Linked DNA regions of Macaca mulatta. The protein of the gene in region 3 interacts with the protein of the main gene of each other region in a pairwise test. Links are inferred from orthologs where the notes say so. Each region holds a gene or a part of one and is shown on either strand. Other genes may lie near its edges.

Evidence for each region.
Region 1: the proteins of KIFAP3 (region 3) and NAA10 interact in binary tests that used the Homo sapiens proteins (3 or more experiments, as listed by UniProt). The two-hybrid records come from large-scale screens. The link is inferred for Macaca mulatta from reciprocal best matches to the Homo sapiens genes KIFAP3 and NAA10.
Region 2: the proteins of KIFAP3 (region 3) and NCF2 interact in binary tests that used the Homo sapiens proteins (3 or more experiments, as listed by UniProt). The two-hybrid records come from large-scale screens. The link is inferred for Macaca mulatta from reciprocal best matches to the Homo sapiens genes KIFAP3 and NCF2.

What each region holds. Positions count from the first base shown.
Region 1 is NC_133426.1:160,173,981-160,179,618, reverse strand, and holds the end of NAA10 (N-alpha-acetyltransferase 10), read left to right. Parts: intron 1-788; coding exon 789-861; intron 862-908; coding exon 909-1,057; intron 1,058-1,257; coding exon 1,258-1,302; intron 1,303-2,550; coding exon 2,551-2,635; intron 2,636-3,175; coding exon 3,176-3,412; 3' UTR 3,413-3,478; downstream 3,479-5,638. UniProt on the Homo sapiens protein: Catalytic subunit of N-terminal acetyltransferase complexes which display alpha (N-terminal) acetyltransferase activity. Acetylates amino termini that are devoid of initiator methionine.
Region 2 is NC_133406.1:41,051,233-41,057,714, forward strand, and holds part of NCF2 (neutrophil cytosol factor 2), read right to left. Parts: intron 5,503-6,482; coding exon 5,368-5,502; intron 4,170-5,367; coding exon 4,062-4,169; intron 2,785-4,061; coding exon 2,725-2,784; intron 1,123-2,724; coding exon 1,079-1,122; intron 1-1,078. UniProt on the Homo sapiens protein: Subunit of the phagocyte NADPH oxidase complex that mediates the transfer of electrons from cytosolic NADPH to O2 to produce the superoxide anion (O2(-)).
Region 3 is NC_133406.1:27,543,435-27,549,916, forward strand, and holds part of KIFAP3 (kinesin-associated protein 3), read right to left. Parts: intron 4,600-6,482; coding exon 4,544-4,599; intron 3,743-4,543; coding exon 3,601-3,742; intron 827-3,600; coding exon 727-826; intron 1-726. UniProt on the Homo sapiens protein: Involved in tethering the chromosomes to the spindle pole and in chromosome movement. Binds to the tail domain of the KIF3A/KIF3B heterodimer to form a heterotrimeric KIF3 complex and may regulate the membrane binding of this complex.

The DNA of each region.
Region 1 (5,638 bases), on a different chromosome or scaffold from region 3:
CCCCTGCACTTCTCTTTGTGTTGTAAGCCCCATGGTTTTGACCAAATGATATGTGTCCACCTTTGTATTATCACAGGATAGTTTCACTGTGTTCCACGCATTTATCCCTTCCTCTTAACCCCTGGCAACCACTGATTTTTTACTGTCTGCATAGTTTTTGCCTTTTCCAGGATGTCATAGAGTTGGAATCATACTGTATACAGCCTTTTCAGGCTGGCTTTTGTTCACTTAGTAGTGCACATTTAAGCTTCTGCCTTGTCTTTGCGTGGGTTGACAGCTCATTTCTTTTTTTATTTTTATTTTTTGAGATAGGGTCTTGCTCTGTTGCCCAGGCTGGAGTGCAGTGGCATGATCATGGCTCACTGCAGCCTCAACTTCCCAGGCTCAAGTGATCCTCTCACCTCTGCCTCCCAAGTAGCTGAGACCACAGGCATGCGCCACCACACCCAGCTAATTTTTTGATTTTTTTTTTTTTGTAGAGACAAAAAAAGTGTTGTCCAGGCTGGTCTCAAACTCCTGGGCTCAAGCAATCCTCTTGACCCGGCCTGCCGAGTAGCTGGAACTATAGGCGTGTGCCCCATACCTGGCAGGCATGGGGTTTTCAGGCAGTAGAGGGTGGCAGGATCAGCTGCTCTGATCCAAGAGGCTCCTGGCCCTCCCCCAGCTGGGGTCTTAGGGGGCTGTAGGGCCAGCCTAGAATTTGCATATCCACTTTACAGATGGCGGGGGGTGGGGGTGGCTGTGCCTACACTGAGCTCCTTTGCAGCCTCTGCTTTGTCCCTCTCCAGGGAAGAGGACCCAGATGATGTGCCCCATGGACATATCACTTCATTGGTATGTAAGGTTCACTCAGGCTCTCTGGTGGGGGTGGAAGTGGGGGTTAGTTGAGGCAGCCCTCAAGGTCCCAGTCCTTCACCCGCTCTCTGCTCTTCTCCTACCAGGCTGTGAAGCGTTCCCACCGGCGCCTCGGTCTGGCTCAGAAACTGATGGACCAGGCCTCTCGAGCCATGATAGAGAACTTCAATGCCAAATACGTCTCCCTGCATGTCAGGAAGAGGTGGAAGCCGGGCTGAGGGAAGGGGGATTGAGGGGGAGAGATATTGCCTTGACGGGGGTCCTGGGGTACCTCGGCTTTTGGTGAAGATCCAGGAAGTGGGATTGGGGTGAAGGAGGGACCAAGAGGAGGGGCAGGCACTGGACGTGCTACCCCTCCCTGGCCATGTCCGTGCAGCTCAGCAGTGCCTTGTTCCCCTGCAGTAACCGGGCCGCCCTGCACCTCTATTCCAACACCCTCAACTTTCAGTAAGTAGATCTCGAGTTTTCTCGTGGGCTGGGGTTGGCCCCAGGTCTGGCCCATCAGGGCACCTGAGACCGGCTGAGTTGCCTTCCAGGCTAGGGGTGGGCCGGATGTGGGGAGGACGCTGTGGACCCCAGTGCTGCCAGGATGCCTCCACATTCACTCGGTGGCTGATGGTTGAAAAGCCGGCATGGAGACAGCACCTGCCTGCTGAAACGTGCTCCGTGTGTGTTGTGATGGAGGAGCTCTGGCCCATGCTGGCAGAGGCTGGTGAAGGGCACACGGGCTGTTTAGTAATGTTTGGGAATAAAGAGGTGTGGGTCCCTGGCGTGAGCAGATCATAGCATGGCCAAGCACCTGGAAGAATCCAAGAGAGAGCAGAATCAAGGAGAATGCACGTTCAGGAAGGAAGGACCGGCGGCCAGGCAACCTAGTGGATGGGGCAGGTCTGCCTGAGGACCGGGAGGCCCCGTGTGCCTAGCACAGGAGAGAGGACCTGGCAGTTAGCATGCCCAGTAGACAGTGGAAAAAAGTGCTTGCAAGTGAAGCTGGGGTGGGCTGCCCGTGGAGGGACACTAACTGCAGTCAGCCCCTGTTTGGCAGGGGTGAAGAGGAGGGACTGTTGGGAAGGGCAGTGGCCTCTGGGCTGGATGCTGGCAAGAGGGATCTGTGACCCAGATGAGGATGTCTGGTGGGAACTGCTTTATAGCTAAGTCAACAATCCTCATGTCTTAGGCCTGGCAGGGCCAGCCTAGGCCATTGAGTCCAGCTCCCCTTCCAGGGACATGGCCACCCGAGTCTGCACACATGCCTCCCCAGTGCAGGCATGGCCCCTGAGCTGCTCAGGCAGGGCCCGTGCTGCCTAGGGATGACTCCCCTAAACAGAGCTCACTGTCTTTCCTGGGTTCTGATGGCTGTTGTGAGGCAGCTCAGTAAGGGACAGGACGCAGGGCAGGGAGGGAAGGGGAAGGCTGAATTCAGGAATTCAGCTCACAAGAAACCACAGAAATGAATCCTTAGTAGCCAGGCTAAGGACACAGAACGGGGGCAGGACAGGGGTGGGGCGGGCCGCTGTTTCCTGGAGCCTTTGCTGGAGAGAACAGAGGGCAGGTCACACTGGACTTGCTGTCTCAGGAAGGAGCCCTTCAGGGAGAAAACACGGCATCTTGCTCCAGTAGCCATGATACTAGGAGTGGAGGAGGGTGTCCCCCAGGTATGGGTCTTCCTCCTTGCTCTCTACCCTCTGCCCCCAGGATCAGTGAAGTGGAGCCCAAATACTATGCAGATGGGGAGGACGCCTATGCCATGAAGCGAGACCTCACTCAGATGGCCGACGAGGTAAGAGCCTGCATGAAGCCAAGCCAGGCAAGCGGGGGTGGCATTGGGGAGCCCCGAGACAGTGGCTGGAGGTGCGACCAACTTTGAATGCCAGCCCTTGTGGCTATGTTGCCAGGAGTCACAACCTCAGTTTCCTAGGTTGGGCTTTAGAGGAGGCCGTCTGCCTAGCAGCCTGGAGGGTGATGGGAGAGGCAGAGGGAGGAGGCTTTTAGAAGGGAAGTGGGGAGGCCTGGGGACCAGTGGGTGGCCTGCCTGCTCAGAGGTAGTTCTGAGTCAGGGTTCTGCCCCAGGCTCCTTGGGTGGCAGGGCTGGTCAAGGGGCAACGCTGTGTCGTGGGGGCCTCCATGGTAGTCAGTGAGCCCAGGTAGCAGTGGACTGGGGCTCCAGCCAGGTGTCCCCACTCAGTCCCACGTGTCCTGCCTAGCCCTGCTGCCTCACTATGCCCCTCTCCTCAGCCAGCGACAGGGCCAGGCTCCCTTTGTCTGGAAACTTAGGCCCCATCTCTTTACCTCCTGCTTCTCCCTGGGTTCCTGGTGGCAGCTGAGGCGGCACCTGGAGCTGAAGGAGAAGGGCAGGCATGTGGTGCTGGGTGCCATCGAGAACAAGGTGGAGAGCAAAGGCAATTCACCTCCGAGCTCAGGAGAGGCCTGTCGCGAGGAGAAGGGCCTGGCTGCCGAGGATAGTGGTGGGGACAGCAAGGACCTCAGCGAGGTCAGCGAGACCACAGAGAGCACAGATGTCAAGGACAGCTCAGAGGCCTCCGACTCGGCCTCCTAGAGCCTGCCCCATCCCTTCCTCACCCCACGAGCTTTCACAATAAATTCGCTCCGTGGCACTGGGGAACTTCGTGTGTGTGCGTGTGCACATTTAGAGGGTGTGTTTCTCCAGGTCCTCTGGTGGGGAGGTGAGCCTCAGCCTTTTGACCCAGAGCATCCTGCCAGTCCGAATAGAAGGGAAGAGCTTTGGAGGTGGGACTCCCCAGTCTCATGGCCTTCAGCAGCTGTGGCCCCGGGAAGGAGGCCCTGGGCTTAGGGAGAGACCCTGCCTTGGAGGTCTGCTTGGCCACGCTGAATGTGTTTTGTGGCATAAGCCTGGGCCGCTTAGGCTCAAAGCTCAACAGCAGGGCTCCCACTCTTGGTAGCCTTCAGTTCTCCTCCCATCTTCACCTTCAGACCTTTTCTCTCCCTAATCACACCTGCTTTGGGCTACAGCAGCTCTGCGGCATAGCCGTGGGCTCCAGATGTGGACATCTGACTGCTCATTGGGCTTATCTACAGCTGTCCTGAGTATAATGACCCAGCCAGACGCCCTGTCAACGGTCCTTGAGTCCTCCCTTCCCTGCCACCCTAATGGTCAGTGAGTCCATGATACCTCTTGAGTCTACTCCCTGAGTTTGCATTTGAAAATAATTTATTTTTAGTACAATTCCCCCCGTTTGCCCTATTGACATTTTGTATTAGTTGGTGTATTTGTTATTGTTGATGAGCTAATACTGATAAGTTATTGTAAACTATAGCCCATGGTTTACATTAGGTTTCCTGTCTGTGTTGTACAGTTTCTATGGGGTTACACAAATACATAAAGCCATTTATTCCCTCAAAATAATTTCATGCAGAATACAAAACTGGGTGGCTGTTGGGTGCGGTGGCTCATGCCTGTAATCACAGCACTTTGGGAGGCCGAGGTGGGCGGATCACTTTAGCTCAGGAGTTGGAGACCAGCCTGGGCAGCATGGCGAAACCCCATCTCTACTAAAAATAGAAAACCAGGTGTGGTGGTGCACGCCTGTAATCCCAGCTACTCGGGAGGCTGAAGCAGGAGGATCCCTTGAGCCCGGGAGGTGGAGGTTGCTGTGAGCCCTGATCACGCCACCACACTCCAGGGACAGAGACCCGTCTCTAAATAAATAAATAAATAAATACACACACACCAAAATCCTGTTTTTCATGGAGTCACCCTAACCGTAACGCTCTCTCCTGTGTCTCCTCCCTTCCCTTCCCTCCGGCTGCAAAGCCATCGCTTGCTGTTCCTAGTCCCTGGGCGGGCCCTGTATTCCTGAGCCCTCTGTGTACCCTGCTACTGCAGGTGGCACTGCTCCTCCGCCAGGTTGAAAATTCGCCAAACAGACCTGGAGCTCGGTTCTCTTTGGCTGGCGCCTGGCACGTGACCAGCAGGCAGCCAGCTGCTGTGGAAGCGGAGCCCGGAGACCGGCAGGGCGGGGCCGGGGCCGGAAAGGCGCGTCTGCGCACGCCCGCAGCTCTCCGGTTCCCGGCTCGGGCGAGGCTGTGTTCTGATTGGCTTAAGACGTGGGCTTCCCTTTGTATGGGCCGGAGGCGGAGCTCTGGCCCGCCCCGCGCCTGGCGTCAGTGTCTTCCGGTTCGCAAGCCCGCGGCAAGCTTCGTTCCCAGGCTCTGATTGGTCCGGCGGCTCTGGGTTCTGCGCGTGGGGTGCGGGGGAAGGGCGGGCTTGGGCACTGCCTCGGCCGCGCCCCGGCGCCGGTGGAAGGGAGCTGGCCCAAGCTCCCACGGCGTCCGCGGCGCCCTCCTTCCGCCCCTGCCCGGCCCGCTGGACCCGTCCCTGGCGGGCCCGATGCCTGTCGGCCGCTCCCTCCGTCCCCATGCGGACAGGTCCCCGCCTTCTGCGGGCTGCCTGGCTTTTGAATGCTTTGAAGGGGAACAATGGAGCGAAGGATAGAGCGAGCAGCAGGGGGCAGTTGCGTTCAGGGCCTTAAATGCCAAACAAGTGCCCTAAAAGCCTGGGCCAAACACTCAGGCTCTAAAGCACGGGCTGAATGGGGCATCCTAGGAATAGCTCTGGAGTGAAAAAAAGAGCGAAGAGAGCGTTTGAAGCCACGGACTGAGGCCTTTCCTGCCTGCCTGAGCCCTGTGTCTGGCTCTGCTGGGTGGAGGGATCTTTGGGGACCAGTCGGGGCTCGGATGTGGGGGCCAGCTAGGGAGGGGCGGGGGTCCCTGCTTCCCCTTGGCCTGAGGCAGAGGTGGGACG
Region 2 (6,482 bases), about 14 Mb from region 3:
ATTCCTGTAGGGAATACAGGCCCTTGCAGCTGACAGGGAGCTTAGGAATGAGCTCATCCAGCCCCTCATTTTTGTAGTTGCTTTGGTACTTTTGTCACTTTTTAGTTTTATTTTTATTTTTTGAGACGGAATCTTGGTCTGTTGCCTCGGCTGGAGTGCAGCGACGTGATCTTGGCTCACTGCAACCTCCACCTCCCAGGTGCAAGTGAGTCTCCTGCCTCAGCCTCCCGAGTAGCTGGGATTACAGGCACGCATCACCACACTCAGCTAATTTTTGTATTTTTAGTAGAGATGGGGTTTTGCCACATTGGCCCGGCTGGTCTCGAACTCCTGATCTCAAGTGATCCGCCCACCCCGGTCTCCCAAAGTGCTGGGATTATAGGCATGAGCCACCACGCCTGGGCAATCACTTTTTAAAACCTCCTTTTTGGGTGGGAGGACCAGGCTTGCTTCATCACTTCGAGATAATTCTTAAGAAAGCTGTAGGTTATGACACCCTTTGTTTTTCATCTTACAGAAGAAGGACTTCCTTTTCTTGAGTCCTTCCTCTTTACTTCTTCAGAAAGCATGTGCCGATAGGGAGTGGAAAACGCCTACACAGGAAAAAGGATGCCATTCTACATTCCTGACTCCGGAGAGCTCTGGCCTGCCCCCATCAGAGGGGACCGCAGCCAATGCGAAACTGATCTCCAACGTGAGGTCAGCATCCTGGTCCCCAGGGTAGCTATGTTCCACAGGACACCACTGCCCCTCAGCAACAACCCCTTGCCATGTGGTTGGCTGTGCACGTGGACAGAGGGCCATTGGGAACCATGTATCTGCAGCCAGGCCCTGATGGCCAGCTCCACCTCGGTCAAGACTCCCATCCCCACATGTCATTCCTTTCTAGCCTGACATTCTAGAAGACATTCTTCTAAACATTCCTTTCAAGCCTGACATTCTAGAAGAAACCTGACATTCTAGAAAATTCCACAGGATTTAGACTCTGACCCCAGCTTCATCTTCTTCCCTCCCTCTCTTGCCATCGGTTCAGGCTTGGAGCTTAGATATTCTGCATATGGATTTAAATCTAACTTACCTGAAGATCTCTGGGGTTTTCGGTCTGGGTGGAGGCTCAGCTGCCTATTGAATATTCAGGAGAAGTGAAAATGGAAAAGGCAATGAGGGAAAGCAGGGGAGAGACAACAAATGGCTAATGGTAATTTGAGCATTCTTCCAGACCAAAACGTCAAATAATGCATTTCTGACTGATGGGAACACTGTCTAGGAAGGGGGCACAGTCACCCTGACTAAACACTGGGAAATAACACCTCCCACTAGCTCCCCAGGTGTAGGTTTCACTAGCGCAGCAATTCATTTTGAGCCAGAGCTAGTTTCTGGAGGTTAGCAGTCACACAGCAACATGGTGTCACAAGAATGCTTTGACCTTGAGCTCTGTCCTTTTCCCAGGAGAGTTTCCAGAAGCTCTGTTCTGTAATTAATGTCTACTATGTCACATGACACTTCTAAGTATTTTAAAATTAATTAAAAAAAATTTTTTTTTTTTTTTTGAGATAGAGTTTCACTCTGTCGCCCAGGCTGGAGTGCAGTTGTGTGATCTTGGCTCACTGCAACTTCTGCCTCCCTCGTTCAAGTGATTCTCCTGCCTCAGCATCCCATGTTGCTGGAATTACAGGCATGTGCCACCACACCCTGCTAATTTTTGTATTTTTAGTAGGGATGGGAGTTTCACCATGTTGGCCAGACTGGTCTGGAATTCCTGGCCTCAAGTGATCTGCTCACCTCAACCTCCCAAAAATGATGGGATTACAGGCATGAGCCACTGCGCCTGGCCACTTCTGAGTATTTAAAATTGACACAGGATTCCACTGACTGGGCAAGAATCTCCTCCCCTGTTCTACACTGAATACCAAGGGATCCAGTGACCTGGGCTGCGTTCCCTTCATGGCCTCTGGCTGAACTGAAGCTCAAGGGACTTCAGCAAGGCTTTCATCAGCTTTATTGTGAAGAAAGAGATCAAGGAATCTAGATCTGGAACATACCTGCCCCTGCTCAGAAAACCCGCCCTCTGCTGGTGCTGACCAATGCTCTTCACCATCACAGTTTCATTGCCACAGAGTTCCTATTTTCCTCAATGCGTTTTCCCCTCTTCCCTTCGCAAGGAATCTCTGTCTGCATTTCTAGATCCACTGTCATCCAGTTCATCTGAGCCCACCTCTCCAAGCCCAGTTTGGACAGAAAAAGGTTCACTCTCAGCGCCCTGCCTGTGTTCCCGAAGGAAACGCCTGCACATGAGCAGATGGGTAGAGCCAGGAGAGCCCAAACCTCAGACCCAGGCCCCACAGGGTTCCCCACTTGCCCCGTACTCAAGAAGAGGCTTTGTTAACAAGCCTTCCATAACTTGTGTTTCACCTTCCTGAGAGAATGGTTGAGGCTTCAGAGAGAGTATCAGCAGATCTCTTTAGAGACGTGAAGACTGGCATTTGTGGGGAGGCAGGAGAGTTAGCTTCAGAGGACTTGGGGTGAAGCCTGACACTGCCTTATTTCCTTACCAGCCATGGAACCCAGGACTGAGAGAGGGCAGGCAGATCCCTCAGCTGCACTGAGGGCCACTTGAAGGAGCCCTTTCAATAAGGCAGCTCAGCACACATAGTCTCTCGAATCGAATGCTTCACAGAAAGCTCTTGAGACCTAGGTCCATGGAGAAGGTCAGGATTGCCTCACCTGTGGTTGCAGAGGGGCAAACCCAGAGAAACTGTCATGATCCACTACAGACGCCACAACCTGAAATCAAGGACAGGAGGGTGTGAGGCTCTGCCAGCACGGTTTCCATTCTTCTGGCTCTCCCTCCTTGCTCATGCCCTAGACCGGTTCTCACTTGAGCCTGGTTTCAGACGTGGACAGTAACTGAGGATTAGATTCCTGATCCTCTGGATTAGGATTTCAGCAACTGAGGAAACGAGTATTCACCCAACCCCTGCTAACAGAGGCTTGCTTTCTCCTCTCTAAAAACAAATGTTTTTATTGAGGTGCAATTTGTGTAACGTCAAATTACCCTTTTTTGTTTTTTGTTTTGTTTTGTTTTGTTTTGAGACAGAGTCATGCTCTGTTGCCCAGGCTGGAGTGCAGTGGCGCAATCTCGGCTCACTGCAGCCTCCGCCTTCCAGGTTCAAGCGATTCTCCTGCCTCAGCCTCCCAAGTAGCTGGGACTACAGGCATGCACCGCAGCACCTGGCTAATTTTGTATTTTTAGTAGAGACGGGGTATCACCATGTTGACCAGCCTAGTCTTGAACTCCTGACCTCATGATTCACCTGCCTCGGCCTCCCAAAGTGCTGGGATTACAGGCGTGAGCCACGACGCCCGGCCAAGACCTGGATTTAGAAGAAGTGCAATTTAAGACATAGTCTAAACACAGGGCTGTGGAAGTAGGGAAACACTCCTCAGCCCACTAACACGTGAACTACAAGGAGCATTAATCCAAGAGGAACCCATGCTGATCTCTTTCCCCAACATATTCTTTCCATATTTGTTTTTATTATTTAGAAACAGAGTCTCACTCTGTTGCCCAGGCTAGAGTACAGTGGTGCAATCATAGTTCACTGTAGCCTTGAACTCCTGGGCTCAAGTGACCCTTTCGCCTCACAGCCTCTCCACTAGCTAGGCTGGTCTCAAACTCCTGGCCACAAGTGATCCTCCCACTTCAGCCTCCCAAAGCGCTAGGATTACAGGCATGAGCCACCCTGCCTGGCCTTCTCTTCACATTTAGTGAGCTCCTCATGGCTGTGTTTTCCCTCCACTGGCTCAGTCCCCAAGACTCAGCATCCTGTGGGGAACCCTATGGCTCTCACCCAGGGTCAAGCTGGAAGGGAGGAATGGGAGCAGCCTGGAGAAAATAAACTAGAAGTGGTTGCCTATCTTTCAGCCAAACCTCTGTCCTATAAACAAGTCTCTTGTTGCCATCCCAGGGACAGAGCCACAAGGAGGCTGCCCTCTTCTCAAGAGTCCCTCCCACCTTGCTCCACATGGCCCAGGCCACAGGAGACTCAGGGGACACCTACCGTCGCCTTGCCTAGGTAATCCTTCTTGGCCAGCTGAGCCACTTGTCTCTCATTTGGTCGAAACAGCCTGCCCACAGGGATCACCACTGGCTCGTACAGCTTCTGCTTCTGTAACACAGAAAACGTAGCATTTCCTTATCTGAAAATGGGGGTGACGATGCTTGTCCTGCCTCCCTCAGCGAATAGATGCAAGAATTTATTGAGATAACCACATAGAAGCACTTTTTCCAAATGAGTGTTGTCATTGCTCTAGGGTGTTAAGGTAGGAACCCCTGGTTTGAATACCACCTTCTGCTGTGAGGCCACGTGGACGTTGTTTGCTGCTATATGCCCAGCACCCTCTTTTCCCAGAGGAACTGCTCCTCTCCCTCTCTGTGTGGTGTCCGTGGGGTTCTCTAATGGTGTAGACGGCACCACCGCGACGAGGCTGGCCCGGGATTAAGTGAGGCTCATAACAGTGTTCCCTTGGATGAGTGTCTGCTGACGAGGATAGGCATATAAACACTGACTTGAGTCCTCTTCTCTGTGTTTTAAAAATCGGATTTAAAGCTAGCCTTATTCACAAATATGCTTGAACGATGGCTAATTTTTATCACTCATTCACATAATCAAAACATTTTGTGGGCAGGCGTGGTGGCTCACCCCTATAATTCCTACACTTTGGGAGGCCAAGGTGGGCAGATCACCGGAGGTCAGCAGTTCGAGACCTGCGTGGCCAACATGGCAAAACCCCATCTCTATTAAAAATACAAAAATTAGCCAGGCATGGCGGCATGCACCTGTAATCCCAGCTACTTAGGAGGCTGAGGCAGGAGAATTGCTTGAACCCAGGAGGCGGAGGCTGCAGTGAGCCGAGATCACACCACTGTACTCCATGCTGGGCAACAGAGCGAGACTCCATCTCAAAACAAAACAAAACAAAACAAAACATTTTTGCTGAGAGCTGTTACGTGCCTAGCATTGTGCCAGGCTGTGAGGACTCAGTGGTGATCCAGCAGACATGGTGTCTGCCCTCTCAGTGCTTACAGTCTGTGCAGTGCCGCTCCAGCATCCAGTATCCTGTTCTGCATTGCCCAGGAGCCCCACTGCGAGGGCGGTGTGCTGCCAGGCCTCTGCCATCCCATACTCTAGGCCTCAGGTTCTCAGCACAGATTCAAGATCGTAAGTGGAACTATACCCTAACATCTGTGTTACCCAGACTCAGAAAGTAAAAGCACCACTTTTATGGCTTCTCAATGGCATGTCCTCTGAGACAAATGAGAATCCAGTGAAATCCTCTCCCCACCTGCATCACCAATACGCTTACCCAGACACACTCCATGGCCTTGTCGATTTTGGAATGTCTGGGCTCAGACTTCATGCTCGTGGCCAATGCTAACTGTTCTTCAGCTTTTTTCCATTCCTCCTTCTTGGCATACATGAAAGCAATGTTATATAACACCTAGAAAAGTACAGACCGCAACATAAAATTTGAGACTACTCCAAATCAAGGTGCCGGGGAAGGGCTCACACGTGTACTCCGGGAGTGTTGCTGGTGGCCTTTCTCCCTTCCTCAGCTCTCCTGGGAATATCTAAAATATAGTGCAGTTAGTCTTGCTATTGAGGTACATCAAACACAAATATGGTGTTAAGAAAACACCATGGAATGCATCAATGCAACATCATGTGTACTCTTCTAACAACCAAATAGGTTAGGAACGGACAAGAACTATTGTATACAGTGTATTCAAACCGGTTAAAAAAGAAGAAGAAGAATTGTTGTGCTGTTTTAGTGTGAGTTGCTTTAGTGAAAGAGTGACTTGATGGCCGGGCGCGGTGGCTCAAGCCTGTAATCCCAGCACTTTGGGAGGCCGAGACGGGCGGATCACGAGGTCAGGAGATCGAGACCATCCTGGCTAACACAGTGAAACCCCGTCTCTACTAAAAAATACAAAAAAAAAACTAGCCGGGCGAGGTGGTGGGCGCCTGTAGTCCCAACTCGGGAGGCTGAGGCAGGAGAATGGCATAAACCCGGGAGGCAGAGCTTGCAGTGAGCTGAGATCCGGCCACCGCACTCCAGCCTGGGCGACAGAGCGAGACTCCGTCTCAAAAAAAAAAAAAAGAAAGAGTGACTTGCTCAAGGCTCCTTCTAGAGGCAGACACAGGGTTGGGAATAAAATACAGGTGTGTGGCCTTCCAGTCCAGCTCCTGCCACTGCGCCTAGGCTTAAACACTGGACAGGTACAGGGCAGGAAGAGGGATCAAGATGCAACCTCCTGTACCAGCACCAGCAGAACCTGGCCCAGACCATGTGAGTAAAAGACTAATGTAGCAACACAGGCCAGGCACAGTGGCTCACGCCTGTAATCCCGGCACCTTGGGAGGCCAAGACGGGTGAATCACTTGAGGTCAGGAATTCAAGATCAGCCTAGCCAACACAGA
Region 3 (6,482 bases):
TTAGAAAGTAGACATTTTTTGTAACTAACCACCATATTAACTACTCAGATATTCACAATAGATTTTTAGATTATTGTCTAACAAAACAATAATGTATCAATACTAGACATACATTTTATTTATTGTGTAAAACTGACATCAATTAGTAAAGTACTAGTAATTAGGTTTTACATATGTTTTCTGGACAATTCATTCATCCAAGTATTTATTCAATAAACAATTATTTGCTAATACTAGCACATTTTTAGAACAGAAGCAGCAATTCTCTAGGAATTGGCTAGAACTTTTCGTAACGTTTTAATAAACATCTTTCTTAAGGATATATGTGCATAAATAATAAATATGAATACATAATAGGTATGTATTTGCACATACATGCATATATATAACAATAACATTTACTGAGCACTTACTGTGGGTCAGGCCTTATTCTAAGCATTTTAATTTTTAATTCATTTAATTCGAAAAACTATCCAAAGAGGGTGCGACTATTACTATCCAAATTTTACTCATAAGGAAACTGAGGCATGAGTGAGTATAGACTAAATGAAAGATAGAATAACAGATAGCAAGACAGAAAATGGGAAACAGGAATAAGAATTTAGCGGTACAGCATAGGCAGACACACAGAGAAACTGAGAGAACGAGTGATCTACATATTGAATCAATGACACAAACAGCAATAGAGATACAGTAGTCATTTGATTTAATAATTTTTATACTCACCTGGAAAAGCAAAAAAAGATGTAAATTATGTTTGTAGCTAACTCAACACTTTGCTTCCAGTCTTCTCTCAGGACCCTTGCTAATGCACCAAGGGCAGTTTCTAAAGAAAAAGGAGAAGTACCGAAATGATCATTCTCCTTGCTCTGGTATAAAGGGTGATTGGTTTTAAATGTCTAGTTATTAATAAATAACAAAGCTAAGATAGAACTGGGACAAAAAGTAGTATGCTTCTTTCCAATACGGACAGCTACTTTTAAAACTAAAATGTAACTTTACTTAAAGATACGTAAAATGCTACTTCAAGTATATACTGTACACAGAAGTAATCAAATATGATTTAGATAAAGTGACATAATATATATTATGGTAACAATAAAATAATTAAAAAGCCTTTCATTTTTTAATTTAATAATCTTAAATTAAGAACTGCAATCTTAATTTGTAAGATTAAGAACTGTACTCTTACTACTGCAGTACTGATTTTTTTCTTTTTAACATCTGATTTAATGTATTTGATAATATGAAAAAAACTTGAATAAGTCTAGAAAAAAAGAGCAGTTTAGTAGACTAACACTAGTTCCATTAAAGTAAATTAAAAACCAAATAAAATCTATACACAGAAAAATAAATTTAATATTTCAGTATCACACTGAATTTATGCTAATAGCTGCAAATAAAACAAAAAGCTTTCACAAAATTAACTTTCAGGTAGGTTAATAAGCATTTCTGCTAAAATTTTCTCTTCAGGAAATGAAAATTATAAATTAATGACATAGTTTCAAATTGGGTTGGTACATGGCATACTAATTCTTAAAATAATTAAAACAAAATATCTGTATGTTAAAATATAAAAATCATAATTCCACTGTTTTTAATAGATACTCAGGATTTACAATAGTACTTTATGGACTGCATTATAAGTATTTATTATGGTAATGAAAATGTTCCATATTTGAGCTTTCTGGCTATTCGGACTATGAACAAAAATTAATTGTATTAGTTATGAATCCACATAGTGACAAATTTTTTAGCAAATTAAAAATCATCCTATGATAGCATTTCACAGTATTATTCATATTCACAATGCAGAGAACTGGAATAGTATATGCTTTGAAAAAAATTATTTTGGAGTCATGTAAATAGATTGGCAATGCATATTAACATGCAAAGCCTCCCAAAAGTCCTATTTAATAAAGAATCCGGTATAGCTTTGTTCAATCTAGTAATTCCCAAAGGTATTTGACCATTATAATCCAGAGAAAATAGTATTTCTTAAAATACTAGCCTATACAGAACTGTTCTATAATGTCATAAATTTAGGTATAGGTTTAGTGACCTATTTGCAAAATTTTATTTCATTTTTCTCCTTTAAAACAGAACATCTCAATAAAAATACAGTTACAGGAGTTGTACACAGTTTACCAAGAAACAGCTAAAAGAAAATATAGTTTACAAGAGGTTAAAAGACAATCCCAAATTAATTTCTACATTGAATGCAATCATAATCAAAATCCCATTATGACTTTTCACAGAATATGATGAAGTAATCTCAAAGTATATAAGACAAATGTGCAAGACCAGTAAAGCCAATTCTTGGGGAAAGAAAGCAATTTGGAACATTTTTTCCCACATATTCTAAAGTTCAAGTCAAAATAAAAAACAACACAACAATAGTGTGGTATCGGTATGTAAATAATCAAATAAACCCAATGGAACAGAAGGAGAGGGAACACTAAAACAATTCCATGAAAATATGGAACAGTACCTGCCACAGAATAAGTTTTCAAGAATTATCTATTTCATAAAAGAATGGCAAGCATATAGCAGAAAAGGCATTTGAAATACTTATTTGAAAATACTGATTGAGAAAACTATTGATTTGAATTATTTTATCCAGGTATTTGGCAACAACCAGAAAGGCATTCTCTCTCATGTAATGCAAACCAGATAATAAACACATCTTTCCTATTTTGTTTTTGATAAATGTATAATCAGAAAACTATGGATTTAAAATGATTCTATAGGCAGGGCGTGCGGTGGCTCATGCCTGTAATCCCAGCACTTTGGAAAGCAGAGGCGGGTAGATCACCTGAGGTCGGGAGTTTCAGATCAGCCTGACCAATATGGTGAAACCCTGTCTCTACTTCACACACACACACACACACACACACACACACACATTAGCCGGGCATGGTGGCACATGCCTGTAATCCCAGCTACTCAGGAGGCTGAGACGGGAGAATCACATGAACCCGGGAGGCGGAGGTTGCAGTGAGCCGAAGGTCGCAGTGAGCAGAGATCGTGCCACCGCACTCCAGCCTGGGCAACAGAGGGAGACCTTGTCTCAAAAACAAAAACAAAACAAAACAAAACAAAACAAAACAAAAATGATTCTATAGTGGTATTACTGAGAAAAGGGTGTTAAAAACATTCTATCTCCTTTTCTTGTTACTATCAAGTACTTCCAGTGAAAGGAAAGCAAATACTTGATGTGAAATTCAATCTCAATGAAACTGCAAAGATTAATAGCTTTCCCTGTGCTACTGAGAAAAAACTAATACTGGAACTTTAATAAAACATGATATATATATTTATGCAAATGTCTGTAGTTTGATCTTATATTCTAATTGAAACAATAAAAGAGTTTCCCAGAGTAGAAGAAAGAAAAGGTATAGTACCATTAATGCTTAATTTTCCTTGTTTACATTAAACGGTTTGTGAATTCTCCGGAGAATATTTAAATGCTATGCTCTCAATTTAAGAAATCTGAGTAGAAAGAAATAAAGAGCTGGAAAATATATGCAGTCTTAAGTTTTGTATAAATAATTGTAACTTATTCATCTATTATGATTAAACATGTTTTATGGTAATCACCATTTAATAGTAGTTCTTCCAAGTTATCAGGATTTCGAGCAAGCTGCAGGATCAAAGCAGAACCCCGAACCTTGTCAGGAATATCTTCATATAACAACTCAATATATTCATCCATGTCATTAATGTTAGCAACTTCATCAATCTGAAACAAAGGAAGAAGCAGAAAGTACTCATCAACAATGCTCAACAGATCCACTGTCAAAGAAATAATATTTTGTGATCAATACAGATATAACAATACAGAAATTTCCAAAGAACTCACAGTAACCATCCTTTTGGATAGGGAAATTTTAGATCTTTAGACCTAGGACTCTAATACAAAACCCCATGATAAAATGAGATGTATATAAACTTTAAAAATTGTTTATCAATATAAAGTATCTTAAATGTAATAAAAAATATTTGTATCTACTATAGTAGATTAAACAATATTTCACAACATATTACAATAAGAATATGTAAACATTTTTGCCCATCATTTACCAAAATTAATTGTTTAGAAAGCACAACCAGCCACAGGTACAGCGGCTCACAGCTACAATCCCAGCACTTTGGGAGGCCGAGGCGGGCAGATCACAAGGTCAGGAGTTCGAGACCAGCCTGACCAACATGGTGAAGCCCCGTCTCTACTAAAAATACAAAAATTAGCTGGGCGTGGTGGCACGCACCTGTAATCCCAGCTACTCAGGAGGCTGAGGCAGGAAAATCGCTTGAACCCGGGAAGCAGAGGTTGTGGTGAGCCGAGATCACGCAAAAAAAAAGCAGAACCAATACTTTTTGTCTTTTTCAATTAAATAATGGTTTTCTACCTTTCTCAGGTACCTGAGTTCAGTCATTTTTAAAAAAATACCACATGCTTAATGTGATTGTGTGTATTATTGATGGAAAAAGGCAATATCTGATAATTCAGTCCTCTATTAGATCAGAACGCATGCAGTCTTACCTCCATTCCTTCGAAAGGAGGTGGATCTTTAGGCTTGCTTGATTTTTCTTTTTTCTCTGTAACAAGATTTTTTTTTTTAAATAAGGAGAATTAGGTTTTTAGGGTTTCTAGGTAATTTTTATTTTCAGCAGCTGAGTTTAATTCTAGCTAAACTGGGGATATTAAAACCAGTTTATGAAATAATCTCTTTTCAATGTATAAAAATGCTCATATATAATCAATTCGATCAAATGAGGATATCAAGGAGAGCATAAACTAATAAAATCTATATCACCAACTTCCTCCTTGGTTAACTTTTTGGGTATGTAAGGTATACAGTCAGACTTGCCAACAAGCAGCAAAACAGTCTGCTCTAAGTATCCTCTCTTTCCCTTCCTAGTTCAAATTTAAGGTAGGAATAGGAAAATCAATAAGGCAAAGAAAAAAGTATGACTTGAGTAATATAAAAACTAAAATGAAAATTAACAAAGCAGAAAGAAATAAAAATTGGTAAATTTAAAACCTAAGATATAGAATAGTTGTTAACTGGTTCTTTTTTAACAAGTAAAATTAATATCATAAATTAAAAGGCAAACATTTATTACTTATATTAATTAAATCCCCACTTATTCCCAAATAAAGAGTTATCCAAAGGTGCTGAACACAAGTTTGAGCCATTCGTTTATATTGAATTATCTAATTAATGGCATAATTTCATTTTTTAACAAAAAAACTATCAAATACTTTATTGATCTGGATTATAAGTCTAAGTAATGTATGTACATTAAAGTAAGTTAGAATGTTATCAAAATTTTTGATTCCATAATTAGCAAATAAATATATGATAGAATTAGTCATTATTTTCAGAGGACAGCACTCATTCTATATAAGATCATACATTCTCAACAACTTAATTCTGCTTCAGACAGATAATTTACTAAGACAGTGGTTTTAATTATGCAAAAAAAAATCACTGAATGTAATGAATTACACAACCAAGTAAGTATTATTGTTTCAATTGCTTTTAAGATAAGATTTCTGGCTTTGGAATACTGCTTGCCAAGTAAAAGAATTTTAACAAAGAAAACCAGTAGTGTAAAAAAAAGCATATATTTAATATACACTTCCTAAAGCATTTCCTATGTCTTCAATTATTAATAATACTCTACCCAGATAGAGAAAATATTGATTTGAATTATTTTATCCATGTATGATGACATGAACATTTTTTCATATTCCTCTAATTTCTGGGGAGCAAGGTAAAACCACTGATTTGCCCTGAAAACACAGTGAAAGAGTTTTTACTGGTTCAAAGATACTTTATTCTAAATGCCTTCAGAATTATATTAATTTGGCACTAGGAAAGATCAACTTTAACTATACTGTACAACCTACAATAAGTAGACACAGATCTTAAAAGACTACCAGATTTGCTTTTCTCCTTGGATTTATTGGACTATGTGATCTCTCATCATTTACAGACATCTTAACAAGAATATTCTATTAACAAAATACTTAATACAAATTGTCCTTGATAATATTTTCCTTATCTACATAGTACTTAACAATGCCAGGTATGTGATTAGAAGCAATCACGTTCAAAATGTCTATTTTTGCTTTTTTTTTTTTTTGAGACGGAGTCTTGGTCTGTTGTCAGGATGGAGTGCAGTGGCACGGTCTTGACTCACTGCAACCTCTGCCTCCTGGGTTCAAGCGATTCTCCTGCCTCAGCCTCCTGAGTAGCTGGGGTCACAAGCATGCACCACCACAACCAACTATTTTTGCATTTTTACTAGAGATGGGGTTTCACCACGTTGGCCAGGATGGTCTTGATCTCTTGACCTCGTGATCTGCTCGCCTCGGCCTCCCCAAGTGCTGAGATTACAGGCGTGAGCTACCATACCTGGCCCTTTTTGCTTTTAAATAAATTTACAACCATTTAATTCGTTCAACAAATATA